Kluyveromyces lactis: one gene and its partners. The protein of the gene in region 1 purifies or fractionates together with the protein of each later gene. This does not show direct contact. Links are inferred from orthologs where the notes say so. Each region holds a gene or a part of one and is shown in the gene's direction. Other genes may lie near its edges.

The links. Proteins that work in one complex are often made in the same cells at the same time.
Region 2: the proteins of IPP1 (region 1) and ACK1 purify together in Saccharomyces cerevisiae (affinity purification with mass spectrometry; 3 studies listed by BioGRID). This does not show direct contact. The link is inferred for Kluyveromyces lactis from reciprocal best matches to the Saccharomyces cerevisiae genes IPP1 and ACK1.
Region 3: the proteins of IPP1 (region 1) and ROM2 purify together in Saccharomyces cerevisiae (affinity purification with mass spectrometry; 4 studies listed by BioGRID). This does not show direct contact. The link is inferred for Kluyveromyces lactis from reciprocal best matches to the Saccharomyces cerevisiae genes IPP1 and ROM2.

The regions. Positions count from the first base shown.
Region 1 is NC_006041.1:1,568,017-1,571,647, reverse strand, and holds IPP1 (inorganic diphosphatase IPP1), read left to right. Parts: upstream 1-1,414; coding exon 1,415-2,398; downstream 2,399-3,631. Other genes in the region: APC11 (anaphase promoting complex subunit 11), read left to right, coding at 142-630; phosphoribosylanthranilate isomerase TRP1, read right to left, coding at 2,478-3,110; HHT1 (histone H3), read right to left, coding at 3,424-3,631.
Region 2 is NC_006039.1:1,307,692-1,311,870, forward strand, and holds ACK1 (Ack1p), read left to right. Parts: upstream 1-1,604; coding exon 1,605-3,119; downstream 3,120-4,179. Other genes in the region: COX20 (Cox20p), read right to left, coding at 362-919; HEM1 (5-aminolevulinate synthase), read left to right, coding at 3,859-4,179.
Region 3 is NC_006038.1:683,284-688,269, reverse strand, and holds the start of ROM2 (Rho family guanine nucleotide exchange factor ROM2), read left to right. Parts: upstream 1-1,626; coding exon 1,627-4,986. Other genes in the region: ARC18 (Arc18p), read right to left, coding at 39-569. UniProt on the Saccharomyces cerevisiae protein: Stimulates the exchange of RHO1 GDP-bound form into GTP-bound form.

The DNA.
Region 1 (3,631 bases):
GAACCTGTGACACTTTTATGCATATGGGTATAATATATTATAAGAAAGGATTAGATAGGAAGAATTGAAAACACAAAGACAGAACGAAGGGAACTGTGACGAGGATAAAGCCTGCGATAAGGATACTTCACCCGTGTTACTATGCGTATAGAGGTAACAGATGTCAGTCTAGTGAGCACTTGGGCGTGGGATATTCCCAAGGATTTATCGAAAGGGAAACATGGTGTTGCAGATCAAACGGTACATATGGAAAAATGGGAAGATATACAGAATGAAGATGAGGATGCAGAGAACGATGAAGAAGAATATGAAGTGTGTGGGATCTGTCGTAACCGGTACGATGCTACTTGCCCCTCCTGTGATTACCCTGGTAGCGGATGTCCAATTGTGTTAGGATTATGCAATCATAATTTCCATGTTCATTGTATCAAGCAATGGCTAAGTACTGAAACATCAAAAGGGTTGTGTCCCTTGTGTAGACAAGGATTCCAGTTGAGGCCTAACGTTCTGATAAATAAGATGCACCATGATGAGTTCCAGAAACTGTTGATGAGTGTGAGACAGCACAACATTCCGATGGGTGGTGGTGAAATAGATCAAGATGTGATGGATGATGGCTTCATACGATGAAGGGAAGACTCGATATGCTGAAGATATGTGTGTGTACATCTATTTAATTGGTAATAGGATAGAGTAGTGGTTCAAATCATCAGTGATGGGCTAAGTATACTAGGTAGCGAGGCCATATTACAGGTGGTGTCTCTTGCTCACATGAGACAAAAAAGAAAATGCTTCCAACCAGAGTCGAACTGATGATCTCCACATTACTAGTGTGGCGCCTTACCAACTTGGCCATAGAAGCTGTTAATTTCTTGTTTGATGGGGTAAGAAAAACAACTACACCTGATACTTTTACAATCAGATGATCAAGCTCATGTGAGAATACACAACCACTGGTTCAATAAAAAAGGGCGATAAGCTAACCAGTATACTATTGTAAAATGGTATCGTGTTGCAGTCAATGTTTGTTCGTCAGTACACACGTCGATTGTACGTTGACCTACCGTTTCAGCAAGCCACGACCATGCGGTACCTATCGTGTGGCTTTTCCCCAAAAGCACTCTTATCACGTGATTTTCCCCTAATGTGAAACTCTGTTACTACAAAGAGAGAAGCATGATTAAACCCAATGACTTTAAAAAAAATACACTATGCAACTGCAACTGTATACAATCGGACCAAATATATACAGACCCTAATGTATACCCTAGCACACCTACACACGAACACAGAATCAGCCACTTCCTAAACTATCGCTTCTTCAAGCACCAATCTGCTTCTTTTCCATCCTGTCGTTCTCTCAAAGTGGACGACCTGAGGAAAAAAAAGTTGCAAAATTCATATATAAATAGGAATGAAAAATGCCTGCACTGGTTTACCATTGGCCACTGACGCCATATATATGATCTTAGGTTCTTCAATTGATATACAGCCTTATATACCCCCCGCCAAACGTATATATACACCGGACACGATGAGTTACACTACTAGACAAGTTGGTGCCAAGAATTCCTTGGATTACAAGGTTTACATTGAAAAGGATGGTAAGCCAATTTCTGCTTTCCACGACATCCCATTGTATGCTGATGAAGCCAATGGTATCTTCAACATGGTTGTTGAAATTCCACGTTGGACCAATGCCAAGTTGGAAATTACCAAGGAAGAGCCATTGAACCCAATTATTCAAGACACCAAGAAGGGTAAGTTAAGATTTGTTAGAAACTGTTTCCCACATCACGGTTACATTCACAACTACGGTGCCTTCCCACAAACATGGGAAGATCCAAACGAATCTCACCCAGAGACTAAGGCTGTTGGTGACAACGATCCATTGGATGTCTTGGAAATCGGTGAGCAAGTTGCTTACACTGGTCAAGTGAAACAAGTCAAGGTTCTTGGTGTTATGGCATTGTTGGACGAAGGTGAAACTGACTGGAAGGTCATTGCCATCGATATTAACGATCCATTGGCTCCTAAGTTGAACGACATCGAAGATGTTGAAAAGCATTTACCAGGTTTGTTGAGAGCCACCAATGAATGGTTCAGAATCTACAAGATCCCAGATGGTAAGCCAGAAAACCAATTTGCCTTCTCCGGTGAAGCCAAGAACAAGAAGTACACCTTGGACGTCATCAGAGAATGTAACGAAGCCTGGAAGAAGTTGATTTCTGGTAAGTCTGCTGATGCCAAGAAGATCGACTTGACTAACACCACTTTGTCTGACACTGCTACTTACTCAGCCGAAGCTGCCTCTGCTGTTCCAGCTGCTAACGTCTTGCCAGATGAACCAATCGACAAGTCCATTGACAAATGGTTCTTCATCTCCGGTTCTGCTTAAAAAGTGGAACGATCATTCACTATATATATATCAATTTATATATACGTATGTGTAATTGAAGAAAGATACGTTTTTTCCTCTATTGAGAGGCCTGCTGGATGAATAGCTTTACCTTTTCTAAATCCTTGATACCATCAGTCTCTACTCCTCCACTTACATCGACACCGATCGCATTTGGTAACATATTAATGGCAACAGAAACGTTATCAGGATTCAATCCACCAGCGATAATGAATTTTATCTCGGGATGACTTGCAGACCAACTGGAAATTGCACTCCAATTCAATTTCTCACCAGTGCCACCTTCACCAGAATCGAACAACGTCAGCACATTGTCTACGTGTTCATACAGGTCCAGTAGTAATTCACAATCCTGTGGGAACTGGAACCTCTTAATGATTGGAATTGAAGATGGGATCAAAGATCTGTATTCTTTAATATCTTCATCTCCATGTAATTGTATCACATCTAGATTATATTCGTGGTACAGTTGAAGGACATCATCAACGGACTGATTTCTAAACACCCCGACTAGTTTAGTACCTTTCACGTTCTCTTGTTGGTGAACTGCAGTTGAAATACCTTTCGCAACAGATGAGTCAATGGTTCTTTTCCTACCGGGAACACAAATGATACCTAAGTAATCAGCACCATCATCCACAGCAGTCTTTGCAGCTTCAACGGTTTGCAAACCACACACTTTAACGAGCATCACAGTAGATTTCGCAAGAGGGTAGCTCGCTCAGAGTACCCAAGTAAATGATTAGTAAACTGATGTTTGATAGTTCAATTTTTCAATGAAATAACCTTATATTAAAATTGATATTACTATTATACAAAAATAAAGAATAAAGGATTTGAGTTTATACATAAAATACCATTATTATTTGTTCAGTGAGAGATACCGGGGTATATGGGATGTGTGTAGTGATACCATGCAATCATGTATCAAACATGGAAGAAGTGAAGGGGGAGAAAGAAACTTGAAAAAAAGAAAACCATTTGAAAAGAGGAAAAGTATCTAATTAAGATCTTTCACCTCTTAGTCTTCTGGCCAACTTGATGTCCTTCTTTTGGATAGTGACTCTCTTAGCGTGGATAGCAGCCAAGTTAGTGTCTTCGAACAAAGAGACCAAGTAGGCTTCGACGGATTCTTGCAAAGCACCGATCGCAGAAGATTGGAATCTCAAGTCAGTCTTGAAATCTTGAGCAATTTCTCTGACCAATCTTTGG
Region 2 (4,179 bases), on another chromosome or scaffold:
CACTGATCTTTCGATTATTAATTTTTAAAAATTACCTTAGTCCAAAATAGCTCTCGTTAGTCATTTTATTAAGGCCTTACTAAATTTTTCACCACTTGATTTGTCAATACGAAGACAATCTGCGGTCAGAACGAGTCAGCTCTTTAGCGGTAAATTGGAATGTCTGCAGGGGTATGTGCAGTGGTGTATGCAGTGGTATTATAAACGGTATATGTCATTAAATGATGTCCTGTACTATTGTGCCAGGAATCAAGAATTATTCATTCTCACTCTACATGCCTAAAATATTGCCTACGACGTCTTATGTTGGGTAAAAAAGATACGAGGTCACGTGGTGGTAAGTCAATATCATGTCTTGCACCTACCAAAATTTGTACCAAGGTTTACTGTTTCTAGAGCCCTCTTCCCATTCCTTCTTGACTGTATCTATATTCTTAACCTGTTTCAGCATTGGTTTCTCCTTTGCTGCAACAGTCTGTTTGGCCATTGCTGCCACTTGGAAGCTTCGTCTACGACGCATGCGACATTGCTCCCATCCTACAATGGATCCAAGTATGAAACCTCCTACACCCCAATTTGCCGCACGAGCAGGATTCTTATGGTACAAGAACATCACTGATCCGACAACAAACATCGATGTAAACCCTCCGATCCCTGCGTCTCTGAAACATGGAATTGACAGTACCTTTTCGACACTGAAATCTTTCACGTCTATCGTATTCCATGCCTCTTTCAAAGACGCACGTTCCTGCTCTCGAGCAGCCATACTACTGGACTCATTATTGAATTTGGGTTTTGTATCCTCAAATAGAAACTTCTGTCCTTTAGCATAATTCGTTAATTGCTGTTCCTCTGATATACTCCTTTCCACCTCGGTACTTGCTTCTTGCGTTTTACTCTTAGAAAATGGCCACACCATGTTTGCGCTCTGAATATTAAAATATCAATTCAACGGGAGTTTATATTACTTGACAGCTACCTAGGTTAGCTTAATGAAGATCTCAATTGCTGCTTACTTGTCAACGCTTTTAGCATCATCTCATCTTATAATCTTAGTTTGTCAATCAGTTTTCCTACAGACACAACTTTTTCCAAACCGAAAAATAATTGAAAAATATGGAATATTTGGGAAGCGTCAGTATTTAATCATAAAATCAGAAGGTACTTGGAAATTCTTGACCTAAGTGACTTTTTAAACAGTGAAACTATAGCAAGTCTCTGGAAATGCATTCCTAGTTTGTCTTGAACATATTAAACTGACACAATATGTACATTTATTTATCCGTTCTATATTTAAAAGTCGCTTTCTGCGATTCATATGTACTGTCGCAGTAGAAATGAAAAAAAGGCGACAGAATCCGATACTCTGAAAATCAGTAAAATAATGGTAAATTGAATTAATCTGAAACGATGAGTTGCAACAAAAATACAGTGGCCGTTAAGCATTTCAACTAGGCTTCTGGAAACACTGCCCTCTGGTATCAGCTTGAGTCTGTGGGTAAGTGAGTTGCTCTGCAAGTAGTATTGGATTCGAAAGCGTTTGCACGGAAGAAATTCGTAGAAAGGATAGGACATTGGTAAATCGTTCTCTTGAGAGAAATAGAATGGATAACAACCGACAAAGAAACGCGTATGGCAACTACATAAACATGTACCCGCCAGGTCACGAGCCAAGTAAGAATACACCATATCCGGTTGATGATCTGCCCCAGAATCATGTTGCAGATACGAATATTCCATACCAAATGTATGAGAAAGATACAAGACAAAGCTCCCAGTCAACGGTAACGACGCCAGTATCACGACAACCACCACCGGCGCAGCAAGTCAGCATACCCAAAGTGGATAACCCGCCTAGCAGTGCTAAGAGTGAACGGGATCTTTCAAATTACTCTTCCGAGGCTGTCGCGTTTTATGAAGCATATGACAGAACCGTCAAGGACGCAAACAAGTTTACGAAGGATATCCAGTTGAAATGGTGCGAGACACTGTTGCAATATGCGTTCAAGCCCACTTTCTTAATCAGATACAATATCAATGCTGAAAAGTTGAAACGGGATTTAACTGAGACCGAAATGCTACAGAATAAAAGGACCATTTTAGAGCATGCGTTACGCGTGTTAACGAAACTAACTCAGTTAAACTATTCACCAGCGATCTACCTATTAGGGACACTTTATTCCCACCACCCTTACGTAGATATTCCAAGGCCCATGGATATCGTGTCTAAGAATGATGCAAAAGCTCTAGACTACTATCGCAGAGCAGCCGATATGGGTCATAAGGATGCCATGTATCGGACCAGTGTCAGCTACGAGTACGGACGTGGAGTAGATTACACAACTGTGAGTGAATACGAAGCTTTAAAGATTTCACAGAAGTACTATGAAATGGCAGCTTTGACCAATGGACATTCTGTATCCATGTACAAGCTCGGGATGTTCTATTTGAAAGGACTGAGAACGAAATCTGGTGAAATCGTTATCAAAAGAGACCCTGTACAAGCTTTATACTGGTTTAGAATGGCTACCAAGGAGATCGAAATCCCACGAGACGATAAGGCTCATGTAGAACTGGAATCAGTATCGCCACAAGCGATGGTTGAGTTGGGTAAGATTTACGGATTTGAAGAGTTAGACGAATCCGTTAGACAAGAGCTTCTGAGAAACGGAATCACTCAAGATAAGGAAAAATCGATCAAATACTATTATAGATGCGCCCATGACTTCGATTATTCTCAAGCCCAATACAAATTGGGTCATTTTTATGAATTTGGGGAGATGGGACTACCTGTAATACCCAAGAAGTCCATTGCATGGTACGCAAAGAGTTCCATGAACAAGACCAAACCAAACCCGTTAGCCATGGTAGCACTTAGTGGCTGGTACCTTACCGGTGCTGAGGGGATATTGAAACCGAACGACGTAGAGGCCTTCAAGTGGGTGTCACGTGCTTCGAAATTATCTGACGGGAAATTACCAAGAGCAGAGTATGCATTAGCATTTTACTTGGAGAAAGGCCTTGGATGTCAGCCAAACATACAAGAGGCCAAGGTACACCACGAAACTGCTGCTCGTCTTGGCCATCCGAAAGCCATCGAGGCCTTGAGGAAAATGTGACCTTGCGGTTTTATTTTTACTGTCCTGCGTAGCTAGCTTCATTGTAATGATATGTAATAATAAGATTTGGTTAGAGTAGTTAGTTATTGGTATTCTCTAGAAGTTAAATTTCTGGCGGTGGTTGGTGTCGCGAAGCGACACCAACATAGCTTAAACTCGGACTTGCTCCCGCTAAGCGAACCATGCTCATCCAGGCCAATCCCCAGCTTCAACTGCCAGGTCCAGGGCCAGGGCCAGCATTACTGCCACAGCTCTTCGCTTCGCTCACATCATCCTCTACTCTTATTGGCTGAAAACCTCCAAAAAGAAAAGCTCCTAAGTCCAGCATTTCTTTTTTTCCCTTTTCCCTTCCCTGTCTTCCTACAATATCTTCTGCGGAACTGGCAATGTCGGAATCATTTCAAAGGTAAAATCCTCTCATATTGCCTGAAAATGAAAATGACTGAGGAAAAAATGACTGAAAACTCAAAAAAAGATATAATATGATATGTTTTCATAATTATATAATAAGAGATGAGCTTCAGGTTTAACTTAAGATACACCTTTGGTTTTGGTTCAGTGCTTCTCTAATCTAGAGTAAAATATTCTTTGATACACCAGGTTTCACTTTCGTCACTGAAGAGAAAAATTTAAAAAGATTCTACCTGTTAGAAGTGGCTATATCTTTGCGAGTGAGAAAGCTTCTTTTATTGGTTTCCCTTGCACACACTTAACCGTCTTCATTTTGGATTGAAAAAACATGGAATCTGTTATTCGTTCTTCTGCCAAGATCTGTCCATTTATGCACTCTGCCACTGGATCAATGCAGAGTGTCAAGGCTTTGAAGAATGCGAACTTACCAGCTATCGCTCAACAATGTCCATTTATGGGTAAGGCTATGGAACAACGTAGGGGTTATGCTTCTAGTGCTTCTGGAGCCTCTGCTGCCGCTGCCGCTACTGCTACTGCAAGCACAAGCGCTTCTAATTCTAATTCATCCGTTGAAGCTTCTGCTTCTGCAGATGTAGTCGATCATGCCACTAAGGAAGCGTCTTTTGATTACCAAGGTTTGTTCGATTCT
Region 3 (4,986 bases), on another chromosome or scaffold:
TCTGGATATATATCACAAAATTATATAGCCGAGACTGCTTATAACGACTTGTTCATGAATCTCCTTCTAGTGAATGCCAACCAGAACTTCGAAGGCACTTCTCTGTTATCTTTATACACTCTTTCTAGCAATCTCATAGCCAGTTCTTGACGGAATTGTTGGATATAACTTTTTAAAAGCTCCACATCTGCTGGGTTGTCCAATGGAATGGAGTAGACAGTGTTCAATGGGAAACCTGGAGTGCCTGGGATAGCAAAGCTATCTAAACCTAGATTCATTAATTTCTTAACAGCTTCGTTATAACTAGTCGATAAATTCAAATTTGCCAAACAGTCGTTTATGAATAGAATGCCGTAGATTAATATTCTATCAGCTGGGGATTTGATCTCAAAGTTCTTAAAGAAGGAATTGGCACGGAAAAGATCTAGACATTCATCGATAATATCGTAGTCTGAATTGGACTGGTAAGCTGGTCCTCTATATTTCGTATTCAATGGAAGTAGTGCAAAGTTACCCACGAAACGATCAGTAGCTGGGTCCGCTAGAAAAGTAGAATGGAAAGCTGGCATTATGTGTTTGTATTAAGGTCTGACGAGATTATCACCCGATTTGATACTCCTGCGATTTTAATTCAGACGTACTTTAGCTACCTAATCATATATTTTACCACATATGTTATTTCATAGTTTAGTTTTCATATTGAAGTAGCTTTTCAGTTTTAGGCAGAGAAAAGGGGTTTCACTAACAGAAGTTACAACAGTTGATTCGATCACTTGGTGATGTATTAGTGATGATCTAAAGCATCAAGTAGGTATAGCAAAGGGAAGATAGAGGAGGGTCCGGAATTATCGAGGCCTAATCAACTAGTCTTTTGATACCATCCCAAAAGTAGCAATCACGTGACTCATGTAATACAGATTCAGCTTCCCCTGACTTCAAAAAATTACATAATACAATAAAAAATAAAAATACGCATACAGAAGCCACTGTGCCAATAGTCACGATAACCATCTGATTGAGGCTAGTGACAGGATCTGGAACAGCAAGGTTATACACAAATTACCGGACGTAAATTTCTATTTTCACTGCTATTTTTTTTTCCATATTTTTTGCTTGTTTTCCGCACTATGATGATGTCCCAAATCTCAACTTCATGCACCGATGTTTCGTAAGTTGAGAATTTGATTTGATTTGATCATTTGAAAGAAAATAACGGAAACCTGATAAATAATAAGGAGCAAGGCTTGATTGAAGGTTTTGTTGACACAGAGATTTGGGCTAAGAAAGTGTTATTTCGATACCGGAACGGCAGATTGGAAACTTAGGGTGGTGTACAGTAATCTGAGAGAGTACGTTTGGTGTGTGTGAACGGGAATAATTTCATAAGGCGCAATTACAAACTCTGTTCGGTTTTCGTTTTGGTTTCAGTTTTCCTTTATTATTGTATTTTTATTTTGGTTGAGGTTGTCTGTTATTCCAGTTCCAATATCCTTTCAAACTTGAGTATTCCATTATTCCTTTCATTTCTGGGATTAGTGTCTTTCTTTTTGCTTTTGGTTGACCTAAGAGAAGCTTAGAACAGGATTTTTGCATTAAGTGTCTTTTTGTTCTTTCTAAAGCGAGACAATGAGTTTTTCCTCCAATGATATGGAACAAGACTCCAGGAGGCAATTGTTCACCCAGATTTTTGGTATTGAGCGGCCTTTGTCGCCTCCCCCAAGTAATGTACCGAGAGAACTGCCAGATTCTTTAGATATGATGAGTTTAAAGGCTGTGCTCAATGAAGATGTAGAGAACGATTTACTGCAAAATAGAGGTCAGATCTCAGAAAACAAAACTGGGACTGAAAGGAGTGTTTTCAGAAGTCCTGTCCATGTTCGTCAAATAAGTGACGTTCCAAGTATGGACACGGAGGATGATATTGTGACTCCTCCAGAGTCGACTTCTCCACAGGCGTATCCACCAGAGGATCTTTCTTTACCTAAGCAGCGACCTATGTCGCATCATCATCATGGTAGACCAGCGCCGCCCGCCATGGACATGATTCATGAATCACCGAGAAGGTCAAAGAGTGAAAATTTCAATTCAAAGCCGTCTTTACCAAAACTTTCAACTACAGGACAAATTAACAACAACAGCAGCAACAACTATAGCAACAACATTAGTAATCTTAATTCACGGGGATCATTCAGTGCCAAAAAATCTCCGCTGCAAGGATTTGGACTATTTTCAAGATCTAGCTCGAAATATTTGCAAGCGGATGCAAACCTTTCGTCGAATAATTACAATAATAACTCATCATCTGATCACATTTTCGGAAGGACTCAGTCTATAAGTTCTTCTACTTTCAAAAACTTTACTTCTTCTTTGCATGGGAAAACTAAAACCGTTGGTGGTCGAACCATTCCGCAAAAGTACGATCACTCAACGAACCCATTGCTTGATTCAACGCTAGGTCTGGGCATCAAACAAAGAGCATCTTCTGCATCGTTGTCCACCGAATCAGCTATGTCGAGGCATATACGTAGAACATCCACCAGCTCATTACACACAAAGCATATAGTGGTATCAAGTTCTATTAGGAGACCCCAGGTGTATCCCGCAATGCTATCGAGAGTTGCGACAGCTTTCAGAAAGTCAATCACATTGTGCGAACACAAAAAAGATGGACTAGTTTACAGAGACGCATTTACTGGTCAACAAGCCATTGATGTCATCTGCTCAATAATAAGGACAAATGATCGTAATTTAGCTTTGTTATTGGGGAGAGCACTTGATGCTCAAAAACTCTTCCACGATGTGATTTATGAACACAGGCTTCGTGATTCCCCTAACGAAGTTTACGAATTTACAGGCAATTCCAGAGTTATCGGTAAAGGCATATATGAGATCGGTTCTACTAACAATTTCTCTGCTTCCCAATCCAGCACTACCATCGCACCTTCCAAATCCGAATCTAGTCTGTCTCTGATGGAGAAACCGGAGGATCTAGACTCTTATCATCAAGTGAACGGTGTATTCACATTGTTAGCAGAATGTTACTCTCCAACTTGTACTAGAAACAGGTTATGTTATTCTATTTCATGTCCAAAGCGACTCGAACAACAAGCTCGTTTGAATTTAAAGCCAAATGGTGGATTAAAAAGAAATATTTCTATGGCAATTGATGATGACGATGAAGAAAAATCATCATGGACAAGTTCTGTTCCAGAAGAACTCTGGAGTTCACTTACCAAACGTGAGATTAAAAGACAGGAAGCTATTTACGAAGTCTACAGCACAGAAAAGAAATTTGTCAAATCCCTTGAGATTCTTAGAGATACATTTATGAAGAAACTAGCTGAAACTAACATCATTCCTGCCGATATACGCAAAAATTTTATCAAACATGTTTTCGCCCATGTTAATGACATATATTCCGTAAACAGACGGCTCCTAGACGCTTTGTCAGAAAGACAAAAAGCATCTCCGATAGTCGATGGAATTGGTGATATTTTACTACGTTTCGTTCCATTTTTTGAACCTTTTGTTATGTATGTGGCATCCAGGCCGTATGCTAAATATTTGATCGAAACTCAGAGGTCCGTTAACCCATATTTCGCTCGGTTTGATGATGACCTGATGAACTCTAAGTTAAGACATGGGATTGATTCCTTTTTGTCTCAAGGTGTTTCTAGGCCAGGTCGTTATGTCCTACTTGTTAGAGAAATAATGAAGTCTACCGACCCTGAAACTGAAAAGAGGGACTTGGAGAATTTAACAAGGGCCCTAGAAGCCCTTCGTGCATTTATGAAACGTATTGATAAGGCTAGTGGTGCTGCTCAGGACAGACATGATGTTAAATTGTTGAAGCAAAAGATTCTTTTCAAGAATGAGTATGTCAACATGGGATTGAATGATGATAAACGGAAGATCAAGCATGAAGGCCTTCTATCAAGAAAAGAAATTACCAAGAATGAAAATGGTGTTACAGGTGACCTTCAATTTTATCTACTGGACAATATGTTATTATTTTTGAAGTCAAAAGCAGTCAATAAATGGAATCAACATAAAGTTTTCCAGCGGCCTATACCTCTCCCGTTGTTATTTGCCGCTCCTGGTGAAGAAATGCCAAGTTTAAAGAGACATATTTGCGGTAAACCGGATAGTCAAGGTATGGTTATTTATCCTGATGCAATCGCTGGCACGAATCCCAGAAATGCTATCTCTTTCACGTATTATGGTGCTAAAAACAAATACCAAGTAACGTTATACGCAGCACAGTTCGCAGCAATGCAAACGCTTCTTGAGAAGATAAAGCAGGAACAAGCTAGGATTATCAAAGAAAACGATATCTTTAACGTTTGCAAAATTAGTGATAGGTATTTTGATTACTCCAATAAGATTAACAGCGTTGCATCTTGTGATGGCGGACGGAAGTTAATAATCGCCACCTCGCAAGGCCTATTTTACAGTAACATTAGAAGAGCAGAAAACTCTATAATATTCGGGGCTCCTACAAAGCTTCTGACAAAGAGTAACATCTCACAACTCTCTGTGTTAGAAGAATTCCAATCGATCTTGATCTTAGCTGACAAAAAATTATACAGCTGTTCATTTGATATTTTAAAAATAACAGATCCTCAAGCGGGGAACACTTATTTCAAGAAACATGCCAAGGAACTAGTAACCCACGTCTCTTTCTTCAGTGATGGAGACTGTAACGGTAAAAAGTTAATCGTAACTGCACACACTTCTCACAATTCCATCAAATACTTTGAGCACGAACATCCATTATTGCATGAAAAGAAACACACCAAGAAGAAATTCACCGAGGTCGAGTTTGATAGCGAGCCAGTATCCATATCATTCTTAAAAGCGAATTTATGTATCGGTTGTAAAAAGGGTTTCCAAATTGTATCAGTATCACAAAACGCACACGAACCTTTATTAGACCCTGCGGACACCTCTTTAGATTTTGCATTAAAGGATTCACTACATCCTCAA